Linked DNA regions of Macaca mulatta. The protein of the gene in region 1 purifies or fractionates together with the protein of each later gene. This does not show direct contact. Links are inferred from orthologs where the notes say so. Each region holds a gene or a part of one and is shown on either strand. Other genes may lie near its edges.

Region 1 (3,752 bases):
TCTATGGGGCAAACTCTCCAATCTGGGAGTCAGGCTTCACCATGCCACCCTCAGAGGGGACACAGCTGGTGCCCCGGCCAGGTATGTGCCATGGTATGCTCTGTAGGGTGTCTGGCCTGCCTGGCTGAGCTAAGCCTCCTGGGTGGAAGAGGGCTCAGCTGGGCCAGAGGCCCTGGATCCCACTGAGGGACCTGCCACCAGCTTCAGCCCTCCCGTCCCTGACTTCTCTCTCTCTCTGTCTCCCTTGTCCCTGACTTCTCTCCCTCTCTCTCCTCAGCTTCAGTCCCCCCGTCCCTGACTTCTCTCTCTCTCTCCTCAGCTTCAGTCCCCTTGTCCCTGACCTCTCTCTCTCTCCCCTTAGCTTCAGTCCCCCGGTCCCTGACTTCTCTCTCTCTCTGTCTCAGCTTCAGTCCCCCGGTCCCTGACCTCTCTCTCTCTCTCCTCAGCTTCGGTCAGTGCAGCAGTTGTTCCCAGCACCCCCATCTTCAGCCCCAGCATGGGCGGAGGCAGCAACAGCTCTCTGAGTCTGGATTCTGCAGGGGCCGAGCCTATGCCAGGTAGATACTTGATCCCTGACCTCTGACCATCATTCACTCCTTCCCAAACCTTTTTTTACTGATCCTGACCAACCTTGCCTGCCTCCCCAATAGGCGAGAAGAGGAAGCTCCCGGAGAACCTGACCCTGGAGGATGCCAAGAGGCTCCGTGTGATGGGCGACATCCCCATGGAGCTAGTCAATGAGGTCATGCTGACCATCACTGACCCTGCTGCCATGCTGGGGCCTGAGGTGGGCAGCCCGACCTGCTGACCAGTTGGGGGACCCCCACCAACCTGAAACCCCAGCTCACCGCCCCTCTTCTGTGCCCAGACGAGCCTGCTTTCGGCCAATGCGGCCCGGGATGAGACAGCCCGCCTGGAGGAGCGCCGTGGCATCATTGAGTTCCACGTCATTGGCAACTCGCTGACGCCCAAGGCCAACCGGCGGGTGTTGCTGTGGCTCGTGGGGCTGCAGAATGTCTTTTCCCACCAGCTGCCACGCATGCCTAAGGAGTATATCGCCCGCCTCGTCTTTGACCCGTGCGTCCCCCAGAGAGCCCCTCCCCCAGGGCAGGACCCCCGGGTCCCTTCCTCCTCGGCCTCTTGACTCCTCAAAATTGGAGATCCCCTGCTCCCCACTTCTGAAGTTCAACCTTTGATCATTCTTATTTCTCACTGCCCAACCCTGACTACAGTTCAGACTTCCAGGGCTCTGGGGACCTGAAGGAAACAGGCAGGGGCTGTGACGTGCCCACCTCTCTCTTAGGAAGCACAAGACTCTGGCCTTGATCAAGGATGGGCGGGTCATCGGTGGCATCTGCTTCCGCATGTTTCCCACCCAGGGCTTCACGGAGATTGTCTTCTGTGCTGTCACCTCGAATGAGCAGGTCAAGGTGAGTGCCGCTCCCCAGCCCACGGCTCGCTCCGGAGTTTGGGCCAGCTCGGAGCAGCGGGAGGTGTGGGATGCAGCAGCCCCTGGCTCTTCTCTTAGTGGCCCGTTCCTCACATCCCCACAAGGTGGCAGCCGTACTTTGATAACTGTGGATTAGGAAACCACCTGTTCACAGACAGAGCCCAAGAAGCGGCCACGCTTTGGTGACCTGTGGACTAGGATTTTCTTCATCACAAGAACATTTACATACATGGGGGAATTAATTACTTTAATTTTTATTTTTTATTTATTTTTTGAAACAGGGTCTCTCTCAGCCAGGCCGGAGTGCAGAGGCATGATCAGGACTCACTGCAGCCTTGACCTCCCAGGCTCAAGTGATTCTCGTGCCTTGGCTTCCCAAGTAGCTGGGACTACAGGCATGCGCCATTACATCTGGCTAACTTTTGTGTTTTAGCAGAGACAGGGTTTTACCATGTTGCCCAGGCTAGTCTCCAACTCCTGACCTCAAGTGATTCACCTGCCTCGGCCTCCCAAAGTGCTGGGATTACAGGTGTGAGCCACGGTGACCAGCCGAACTAACCGTTATTACAGTAGTCCTATGCTGATAGCCTTGGCTTCTGTCCTTTGTTACAACAGACCCCCTCGTAGGGTCGCTGGCTCTGTGTGTCACATACCTCAGATCTGCGTGGCGCATCGTTGGCCCTGATGTGTGGGAGCCATTGCTCCTGCTCAGGCCTCTGGTGACTCCCTCTCCCTCCTCTCCCAACTCTGAGGCCCAGGGACTGGGAATTGCTGGCCTGTGTTGGGTTTGGACCCGGCCCTGCCACGGCTGGCAGCCTGACCTTGAACGCATTTCCTAACATAGCTGTTTCAGTTTTCTCTTTTCTAAAATAGAGGTGGTACTACTCGCCTCTGGGGTTGAGAATCGGTCTGTAAAACAGGAAGCACTGCACCTGGCCCAGAGTGAGCTTAGAAAGCCTCTACCTTTCACTTTCCCCCATAAACTCCCCTCCCTCTGTCAGCTGCCTTTCTTCCTCTTTGCCTGGATGCTCTCCCTCTCCCCACCTCCTTTCCAATCCACCCGCTCCACTCTGGGCTCTGAGACCTCTCCAGCACCAGGCCCATCCTCAGCTCCTGGTGAGTCCTGCTCCCCTCCCCCACAGGGTTATGGGACCCACCTGATGAACCACCTGAAGGAGTATCATATCAAGCACAACATTCTCTACTTCCTCACCTACGCGGACGAGTATGCCATCGGCTACTTCAAAAAGCAGGTGACCCGTAGCCTTATCCCACACTGGTCCTTTGCCTGAAGCCTGGGGTCATTCTGTCCAGCCCCTCTGTGGATGGAGTAGGAGTCCCTTTATGTCCCCTACTTCACCTGACACCTGCCAGGAAAGTCTCCATGCCTATCTTCTTTCCTCTGCTGCCACTGCCCCAGGGGAGAATGGGGGCCTATGGGGCCAGTAGAGCAGGCTGGAGGAACTGGGGGGCCAGTAGAGCAGGCTGGAGGAATTGGGGGGCCAGTAGAGCAGCCTGGAGGAACTGGGGGACCAGTAGAGAAGGCCGGAGGAACTGGGGGCCAGTAGAGCAGGCTGGAGGAACTGGGGGGCCAGTAGAGCAGGCTGGAGGAACTGGGGGGCCAGTAGAGCAGGCTGGAACTGGGGGGCTGGTAGAGCAGGCCGGAGGAACTGGGGGGCCAGTAGAGCAGCCTGGAGGAACTGGGGGGCCAGTAGAGCAGCCTGGAGGAACTGGGGGGCCAGTAGAGCAGCCTGGAGGAACTGGGGGGCCAGTAGAGAAGGCCGGAGGAACTGGGGGGGCCAGTAGAGCAGGCTGGAGGAACTGGGGGGCCAGTAGAGCAGCCTGGAGGAACTGGGGGGCCAGTAGAGAAGGCCAGAGGAACTGGGGAGCCAGAGCAGGCTGGAGGAACTGGGGGGGCCAGTAGAGCAGGCTGGAGGAACTGGGGGGCCAGTAGAGAAGGCCAGAGGAACTGGGGAGTCAGAGCAGGCTGGAGGAACTGGGGGGCCAGTAGAGCAGGCCGGAGGAACTGGGGGGCCAGTAGAGCAGGCCGGAGGAACTGGGGGGCCAGTAGAGCAGGCCGGAGGAACTGGGGGGCCAGTAGAGCAGGCCGGAGGAACTGGGGGGCCAGTAGAGCAGCCTGGAGGAACTGGGGGGCCAGTAGAGCAGCCTGGAGGAACTGGGGGACCAGTAGAGCAGCCTGGAGGAACTGGGGGGGCCAGTAGAGAAGGCCGGAGGAACTGGGGGCCAGTAGAGCAGGCTGGAGGAACTGGGGGGGCCAGTAGAGCAGGCTGGAGGAATTGGG
Region 2 (4,501 bases), on another chromosome or scaffold:
AAAGGGAGTATTCTTCTTTCTCAAGGGTTTTGTATGAAGAATAAAGAAGTCAAAATTATTTCCAAATTGTAACTGGTTATAAAATTCTTCATGATAAAATTATTTTCTTATTGTGATGGTGGCGGTGGTGGTGGTTGCAGTGGTGTGTGGGTGTGTGTGTATGTCTTTGGGGAGTGAGTGTGAGGTCATGGGAGGACTTGCTATGGGTAGATGTGTTAGGATGTGAACTCTTCTTCACTGGAAACCATAATCATGGTCCCAAAGCTCAGCTATTGGGAAACTGCTAATTGATGGAAAGAAAAGATGAAAATCTGATTCAAAGGTCTAATCATCTATGGAGGGATAAGAAAGTTGTAGCTTTAAATATTCGTTCAACATTTTATTCCTGTATGTGATTCGCTCTTCTATGTATAGAGGACATATCAGTGAACAAAAACAGTCCCATGTCTATGAATGGATTACTTTTCAGGAGGAAGAAGTAGACATTTAAAGAACAATCTTATATATTACATAGTAAAAATAAGAAAATAAATGTGCAGTGAGTGATATTACTGGTGGTTTTGCTATAAGTAAGTTATAGTATGTCCTTCTAAGAAGAGGACATCTAAGAGATTGAATTAAATTTAAGAATGACTCTTGCTAACATCAGGGGAAGGATCATTTTATGGAGAGAGAGGAGCAAGTGCAAAAGCCTTGAGGAGTCATAGATTTGATAGTTTAATTGAGGAGGTGTTTTTTACATGTGGAAAAAGCAGAGGAGATAAACCTTAACAGTATAAATAAAATAATTCAGATACCAAAGACCATATATTATGATTCTATTTTTATCAATTGATTAAAAACCCAAAGGATATTAGTGATTGTCTGGAGCTTGGGATCAGAATAGGAGTAACGGCATTAGGGTTTTTTTTTTTTTTTTTCAGGTGGTAAAAATAATTTTAAATTGTGTTACAGTAACAGTCATATAGTTCCACAAATTTAGTAGAAATTATCACATTATACACTTAAAAATGAGAGTGTATGATGCTATGTAAATACAACTCAGTAGCTTAAAAATACACAAGTATTAGTGAATCATGCAAATATTAGAGATACAATCACGTCATCCAGAGAGAAAAGCATGTGCGAAAGCCCAGGGGCAGCGGTGTGCTTAGTGCATTTAACATGGAAAATGTGTTTTGGGTTGGGGAACAAAAGGCAGGATAAATGATGGGTTACACGAACCTCTTGGTAGAAAAGCTTCAGTTTGTCCTCTCCAGTAGAAGAGAAAATAACAATAATTGCCTTGATGGGGTGAAATTTGTCCTGAGACAAAAATTAAGAATAAACTGTTTCAAATTACTACAAAGTCCATTTTATTCTGTCATTGGTTTATTCTTCTTGCCTTTCTTTTCTCCTTTCTCTGTTAAATATTAATTTTTGGTCCTGTTCTAAATCTCTGTAAAAGCAGTATTCTTTCTATTCCCGCTTTTCTTACCATGTCCCCTTCAACATTTCCAGCACTGCAGGATTTTCTGACCAAGAGGTTCAAGAGTCAAGACAGAAAGAAGCCAAGGGAGCAGTGCAATGGATTTCTCAGTAAAGGTAGACATAGAGAAGGAGGTGACCTGCCCCATCTGCCTGGAGCTCCTAACAGAACCTCTGAGCCTGGATTGTGGCCACAGCTTCTGCCAAGCCTGCATCACTGCAAAGATCAAGGAGTCAGTGACCATCTCAAGAGGAGAAAGCAGCTGTCCTGTGTGTCAGAGCAGATTCCAGCCTGGGAAGCTCCGACCTAATCGGCATCTGGCCAACATAGTTGAGAGAGTCAAGGAGGTCAAGATGAGCCCACAGGAGGGGCAGAAGAGAGACATCTGTGAGCACCATGGAAAAAAACTCCAGATCTTCTGTAAGGAAGATGGAAAAGTCATTTGCTGGGTTTGTGAACTGTCTCAGGAACACCAAGGTCACCAAACATTCCGCATAAACGAGGTGGTCAAGGAATGTCAGGTAGGCTCCAAGGTAGAGGAAGAGAAAGCAGAGAGCAGAAATGGTACCTGATGTGAAATCTCCACGTTTTTTGTCCTGCTTTATTCCCCTTTTCACCATAGAACTGAGAGCCCTGTGATCTCTTTCCAAACTCTTTACTTAGTTTCTGAAGCCTGAAGGACAGTGCTGCACATTGCTTTTATTTAAAAGAGTACATTTTTTAGCAAGGAAAAGTTGAATGAATGGAGAATTGCTTTGTAAGATAAGCTTTAATTGCCACTCCGAGAAGAAAGGTGTTTTTGAGAACATGTCTTGTTAGATGTGGCAAAAGTGGCAATGAAAGGAAGTCTTTCCTTAATGCAGGGTCTGCTTTTTCTCTAGGAAAAGAATCAGGCTACTCTTGATAAGGGGATGGTAACTTCCATCATCCAGTAATAAAGAATACGTTCATCTCCTCAGATTTTCCCCCATGCCATAGGTTCTAATCACCAGCCTCACTGTTTCTGTAAACTAGTCCCTTCTGAGAGCCATCCAATTTCTTCCTTGCTATCCTCTATCCAGGTGCTGAGAAAACTCATAACTTTACTCTGGTATAATTTCTTTCTCACAGGAAAAGCTGCAGGCAGCCCTGCAGAAGCTGACAAAGGAGGATCAAGAAGCTGAGAAGCTGGAAGATGACGTCAGACAAGAGAGAACCGTCTGGAAGGCAGGAGGAGACACCTCCTAAGGGATAATTAGACAGGAATCTGGGCAGGACCTTGGGCTCTATCACAAGGAGACCACTTCCCCTTTGCTGTGCTAGAATTAACAGTTATAGAAGTCATATGATTAGGTCTCATTTAATTCCTTCCCTGTTGGAGTTTGGGGGCTGGAGAGCAGACATATCATAAATCAACACAATATTTGGAAGTGAAGGCATGGAGGGAAATACCTGTGAAAATGCTTCCTGTGAATCCTGTGTTCCATTTGTGTCATCAAGTTTGAGGCTCCAATCCTTCCAGTAAACAACCTGAGGAAAGACCCAGGATTCCCTGTTTAGGTGGTTTGGGTAGGGGAATTTTTTTTTTTTTTTTTTTAGACAAGAGTCTCGATTTGTCATCTAGGCTGGAGTGCAGTGGAGTGATCTCGGCTCACTGCAACCTCTGCCTTCCCAGGTCAAGCGATTCTCCTGCCTCAGCCTCCCAAGTAGCTGGGACTACAGGCACGTGCCACCATACCCGGCTAATTTTTTGTATTTTCAGTAGAGATGGGGTTTCACCATGCTAGCCAGGATGGTCTTGATCTCCTGACCTCATGATCCGCCCACCTCTGCATCCCAAAGTGCTGGGATTACAGGCGTGAACCACTGTGCCCGACCAGGTAAAGGGATTTAAGAGAGAGAAAGGCAAGGTTGTTCAGGACAGGTGTCTATAATCCAAGCCTCACCCAAGCATCACATTTTGTCTCAGATTAGGCCTCAATAAAAGACTTGAGTGTATTGCTTTGGAAGGAGTTCCGGTTAAAAAATAGAAAAGCATGGCTTCACCAGAAATTGTGTATTGGCTTTTGCCTCGTATTCCTTTTGAGAACTCCCTGAGGAAAACAGTTCTTATCCTGGCTCCCAGGCTCATACAAAGCAGGCCTTCAACCAGCCAGACTGACTGCCTCTTTCTCTTCTCTTCTCATTCAAGAATTATATCCAGCTCGAGAGACAGAAGATTCTGAAAGGGTTCAATGAAATGAGAGTCATCTTGGACAGTGAGGAGCAGAGAGAGCTGCAAAAGCTGGAGGAAGGTGAGGTGAATGTGCTGGATAACCTGGCAGCAGCTAGAGACCAGCTGGTCCAGCAGAGGCAGGATGCCAGCAAGCTCATCTCAGATCTCCAGCGGAGGTTGAGGGGGTCATCAATAGAGATGCTGCAGGTAAGACTTGGGATGGAGCACCTACATATGAGATTAGGGGAAAAACACAGAGGCTGATTTTCCTTCCCTTCCCAGTCTCTAGGCTTTCTTCTGTGTGGTGACATTAAATGGTTCCTTTGGCCTGGCAGTGCCCCTTTTATGCCCATCATTTCAGGAGTCACAGAGATAATTAAGTGTATGAGTGGCAAAGGAAATTCCCTTTATTATTTACTTATGAGAGGCAGTGTAAAAATTTGAGCTTGGAGAGAAGATTCTTTGTACCATGAGCAAATTCGTTTTAGAACTTCCCCATCACATCAAAAACATTTCTCATGCCTGTTTACAGTCAATATCTGCTTCTACCTCCACCTCCTGGCAACCAATCTGTTTTCTGTCTGTATAGAATTGGCTTCTCTGGACATTTCAATATGAACTGAATTATACAACATGTAGTCTTTTGCATCTGGCATCTTTAATTTAGCATAATATTTTGAGGTTTATTTATATTGCAGTATGTATCAGCATTTTGCTCTTTCTTATTGCTAATACTATTCCATTATCTGAATAAATCATGTTATGTTTGTGTATTCACCAGTTGGTGGCTATATGAATATTTTCCAGTTAGGGACTATTATGAATAATGCTACAGTAAA
Region 3 (4,551 bases), on another chromosome or scaffold:
CCGATCTTAAACTCCTGACGTTAAGTGATCCGCCCGCCTCGGCCTCCCAAAGCGCTGGCATTACAGGCGTGAGCCACCGTGCCTGGCCTCCACCTATTTTTAAATGTACCTTGCAAATATTCAAAAGCAAGCGACTGTTGTTAGTTCTGCAGAGGGGTTGGCCACAGTAAGAGTGGGGAAAGGCACTAGCTCAGCGTGGGGGCACGTGCTCTCACTCGAAACAATGTATTGAGAACACTTGGTTCTTGGGGGTTCCTGCCCAAACTTCAAGATGGCGGCCAGGCGGACGGCTGATTCTGATGAGTCTGATGAGGTGAGCTGCTCCGCAAAACTGAAGGGCCCACTAAGACTGGGAAATTAGTATGTATTTGTGTATGTGTTTGTGAGGAGAGCCGCTGGAGGGTTTTAAGGAAAACAGTGATTGGATTTATGACCGAAAGGTCCGTCTAGCTGTGTAAGGAATGTCGGGGGACACTATTTGGGGAGCATGTATCTGTAATCTTGGTGAGTAAGGATGTTGGCTTGGACTCGTTAGCATAGTAGCACTGGATGGAGATGTGGAGACATGGATAGAACTTTGGGAGGTCACCTGGACAACACTTGTTGCTAGATTGAATGTGGATTGTGAGGGAAAGCACCAACATGGCTGCCTGCTCCGTTTCTGGCCTGGGTGAGTTCCTGTTCCCGAGATGGAGAATCCTAGGGCGTTGGTTTTTGTGTAGGTTAAGAGTAAGTTATCTGCGACATTTTAAGCCAGAGATAGTTAACTGATGCACTTTTTTTTAAAGTCACTGGGGCTAGATGGTCGGTTCTCACGAGAGTCCTTCGGGCAGTTCTGTGGGGAGGGGCTGGGAAGGGTGTAAACTGGGAGGCAAGGAAGGGTCCTGTGTTGGCCTCAGCGGGGAGACAGTAAGCTGCTCGGGGCCAAGAGTGGCTAGAGGGTCTCTAACGGGCAGAGTGAAGGCTTTAGTTTTTCATCAGTGTGAAATGGGCAGCCACGGTAGGGCTTTGAGTGTGACAAGGGCTAACGAAAATCCTGTGTGGACAGCAAGCTATTGGGTAGGATTGCCAGATTTAGCTAATAAAAATCCGGGACACCCGGTTAAATATGAACATCAGAACAATTATTTCGTAGCATAAGTATGGCCTGTGCAAATCTGGGATATACTTATACTAAAAATGTATTCGTTGGTGATGTGACATTCAAATGTAACGAGTCCAACTGTGTTGGACCAAGCAGCCCTAACATTGACTGGGTCTGGAATTTCGGGAAGCCGAAAGGGGCTAAGGTGGTAGCCATGGAGGTGTGAGGAGGGACCCCCGCAAAGGTGAGGTTGGCCCATTTGGTGCCCTTTGCCGGAGAACAACTCTGGGGAGTCGAGCTTCTCGGCTCCTCTACTTCTTTTAGCCCCCAGCAGGCTCCACGGGGAAGGATTACCTGCTTCTTCCAATCCTGAGTTCCGGCGCCCGAGCGCGTCTCTTCCCCTGGCCAGCGTCTTGCTGAAACTCCCGCCCCCCGCGGCTGGCACGTAACCCCGCCTTCCGCTTCCCTCCTCCCTCTCCCCGCAGGGGTGGAGCCTGAGCGAGGAGCCCGCGAGCTCCTCTCTCTCTCCTCTGTCCTCCGATGACGAGTGGCTGGATAATATGGAGTCGGGCAAGATGGCGCCTCCCAAGAACGCTCCGAGAGATGCCTTGGTAAGTGGGAAGGATGAGCGGCGGAGCGCGAAGCCAGGTGCAGCCAGGGACCTGCGAGGCAGGGCCACGCTGAGGGCCTGAGGGAGGGCTCGCACGCTCGTTTCAGTCTGGTCAGGGTCGTCAGGAGGAGAGGGTGATGGGGATGCCCCCGGGCCCCTATCTCGCCGCTCGGGCCAAGCTCTGCCAGAGGGTCGTGGTCCAGCGGAGCTTGCGGAACGGCTGCCCAGCTTTGTGTCCTGGGCTTCGGGCCCCTGCCGCCCCCTCGTCTCTACCTATCTGCCAGCCCTGACTCTGCGTCCAGGGTTCTGATGCTAGCTTATCCCGCCGCCACAGCCAAAAATGACAACCAGCTGGACCTATCCCTACCTCTGCTGGGGAAGCCAACTTGTCTTCTCTTTGCCCCCCACCCCGCCCCCAACCCCGCCAAAAAATAAAAATAAAAGTTTTCTGCAAAAGCATACTATGCGATTTGGTGTGATCACTGACTCACTTGGGAGGACAAGGGTGAGTAGGACTTTGGAGCCCAAAGAAGGGGAACCTTGTATCATAAATATAAATACTACCCTTCTGTCCAGCCTTAATTTCCAGTACCAAATTCTGCATCTGGCGTTTTTATTTGAATCCACAGGTGATGGCACAGATCCTGAAGGATATGGGAATCACAGAGTATGAACCAAGGGTTATAAATCAAATGTTGGAATTTGCTTTCCGTAAGTTAATGAAACACCAAAAACTTGCCTAACTTGTGAACTAGAAAAGATATTTTTATTGTAAGAACATTTTCTTTTCTTTTCTTTTTTGAGACAGGGACTCACTGTTGCCCAGGCTGGAGGGCAGTGGCGGGATCTCGGCTCACTGCAGCCTCCGCCTCCTGGGTTCAAGCGATTCTCATGCCTCAACCTCCTGAGCTGGGACTACAGGCACTTGCCACCATGCCCGGCTAAGTTTTGTATTTTCAGTAGAAAGGGAGTTTCGCCATATTGCCCAGGCAGGCCTCGAACTACTGACTCAAGTGATCCGCCCATCTCGGCCTCCCAAAGTGCTGGGATTACAGGCGTAAGCCACCGCGCCCAGCCTTGTAAGAACATTTTCAACCAAATTATGTTAACAGTATCGTAGAATTCAGCCTAAAGAGCTAAAAAGGAGTTCATGCTAGGGGACAGTAGTATTCATACTGTGATATCTGTTTAAAACTGATCATATAGACAGGACAATTACCTATTAAAATCAGCATTTAGGCTGGACACAGTAGCTTACACCTGTAATCTCAGCACTTCGGGAGGCTGAGGCGGGAGGCCAGGAGTTTGAGTTATGCCTGGGCAACATAGTGAGACCCTGTCTCTACAAAAAACCACAAAATTTATAAACTGTCTACAAATTAGTGGAAACTTTTTTTAAGTAGCCATAAATATTAAGCTGTCTTCATATGTTTAAGAAAAGATTGTTTTTTTCTTAAAGGTTATGTGACTACAATTCTGGATGATGCAAAAATTTATTCGAGCCATGCTAAGAAACCTAACGTTGATGCAGATGATGTGAGACTGGCAATCCAGTGTCGTGCTGACCAATCTTTTACCTCTCCTCCCCCAAGAGATGTGAGCAAACTTGGATTTGAAGTTATTTTTACTTAAAATTTTTTAAACTGTAGTTCTAATAAGGATTTTTTTTTTAAGTTTTTACTGGATATCGCAAGGCAGAAAAATCAAACCCCTTTGCCACTGATTAAGCCATATGCAGGACCTAGACTGCCACCTGATAGATACTGCTTAACAGCTCCAAACTATAGGCTGAAGTCCTTAATTAAAAAGGTAAGAAATTTTAGTCAACTTTTCTTTTTTTAAAAGGTGGAATATGATAGGGGACTTTGTGAAAAGCAAATTCCTGTAGCTAGTATAGTAGATTAAAGGTTAAGATAACTTACTAGAATTTTTTTAATTTTAAAAATTTTTTGAGCTAGATGGACCTTTAGTGCTCATTTAATTCAACAGTCATTTTTCACATCAGGAAGCGGGGCCTGAACTCATTTGTGAAGTTGGTAGCCAAGCTAGGACTGATTCCAAACCTCGTAACTCCCAATCTTTCCACTATATCTTAGTTTTTTAGTGAGGCCTAATAACAGAGGGAATGATACCATCAGGAATTGGGCCAGCTTTCTGAAATATGACCTAAAGCTCTCCCACCACTGAAACAGTTCTCCCTATAATAGGCTGCCTTTTTTTTCTGAAGTTCCACTATAAGAGTTTTATTCTTTTTTGGGTTAAGAAATTGACTAGTTAAGATTACAAATCACAAAGTAGTTAGCTGTTATCCCCATTCAAATAAGACTCTATCTTAAACTTTAATACTGCATAAGATTATATATGTATTCATATCTATTTTTATATAAAGACATGTATATATGTTTATGCAAAACCCAGATTAAATGTTGGATTTAGAACACTGAGAGAACAAAAACAGGACTTTCTTGCCATGGATTATCCATGATCATTTACATCAGCAATCCTAATTTCATTCCTGGTAAAGTTAGGTGTCACATCTTAACATTAATTTGCTTTTTAAATCCCCTAGGGACCTAACCAAGGGAGACTAGTTCCACGATTAAGTGTTGGTGCTGTTAGTAGCAAACCTACTACTCCTACTATAGGTAAGTGAGAGGAGACAATGGCATTTCTGGCTGGTAAAGCAGTGCCTCAGCACTTGGTTTTGAACTATAATGCAAGTCAAAAAGTGAATCAGAAATTCTTGTGTATGTGTTACTATTAATAATTTTACTCATCCTCTAATAAAACTATAAACATACATGTTACTGGCTTTCAAAATGAGAAAGCCACAAGGAACGTCTGATCTCAAATGAGT

The links.
Region 2: the proteins of KAT2A (region 1) and TRIM22 purify together in Homo sapiens (affinity purification with western blotting; 3 studies listed by BioGRID). This does not show direct contact. The link is inferred for Macaca mulatta from reciprocal best matches to the Homo sapiens genes KAT2A and TRIM22.
Region 3: the proteins of KAT2A (region 1) and TAF9B purify together in Homo sapiens (affinity purification with mass spectrometry; 4 studies listed by BioGRID, with this or other methods). This does not show direct contact. The link is inferred for Macaca mulatta from reciprocal best matches to the Homo sapiens genes KAT2A and TAF9B.

The regions. Positions count from the first base shown.
Region 1 is NC_133421.1:66,453,639-66,457,390, reverse strand, and holds part of KAT2A (histone acetyltransferase KAT2A), read left to right. Parts: coding exon 1-81; intron 82-446; coding exon 447-557; intron 558-650; coding exon 651-787; intron 788-868; coding exon 869-1,077; intron 1,078-1,303; coding exon 1,304-1,430; intron 1,431-2,592; coding exon 2,593-2,703; intron 2,704-3,752. UniProt on the Homo sapiens protein: Protein lysine acyltransferase that can act as a acetyltransferase, glutaryltransferase, succinyltransferase or malonyltransferase, depending on the context.
Region 2 is NC_133419.1:69,875,050-69,879,550, reverse strand, and holds the start of TRIM22 (E3 ubiquitin-protein ligase TRIM22), read left to right. Parts: upstream 1-1,566; coding exon 1,567-1,989; intron 1,990-2,578; coding exon 2,579-2,674; intron 2,675-3,638; coding exon 3,639-3,869; intron 3,870-4,501. UniProt on the Homo sapiens protein: Interferon-induced E3 ubiquitin ligase that plays important roles in innate and adaptive immunity.
Region 3 is NC_133426.1:84,382,081-84,386,631, reverse strand, and holds the start of TAF9B (transcription initiation factor TFIID subunit 9B), read left to right. Parts: upstream 1-1,616; 5' UTR 1,617-1,644; coding exon 1,645-1,695; intron 1,696-2,323; coding exon 2,324-2,405; intron 2,406-3,153; coding exon 3,154-3,290; intron 3,291-3,368; coding exon 3,369-3,503; intron 3,504-4,263; coding exon 4,264-4,339; intron 4,340-4,551. UniProt on the Homo sapiens protein: Essential for cell viability. TAF9 and TAF9B are involved in transcriptional activation as well as repression of distinct but overlapping sets of genes. May have a role in gene regulation associated with apoptosis.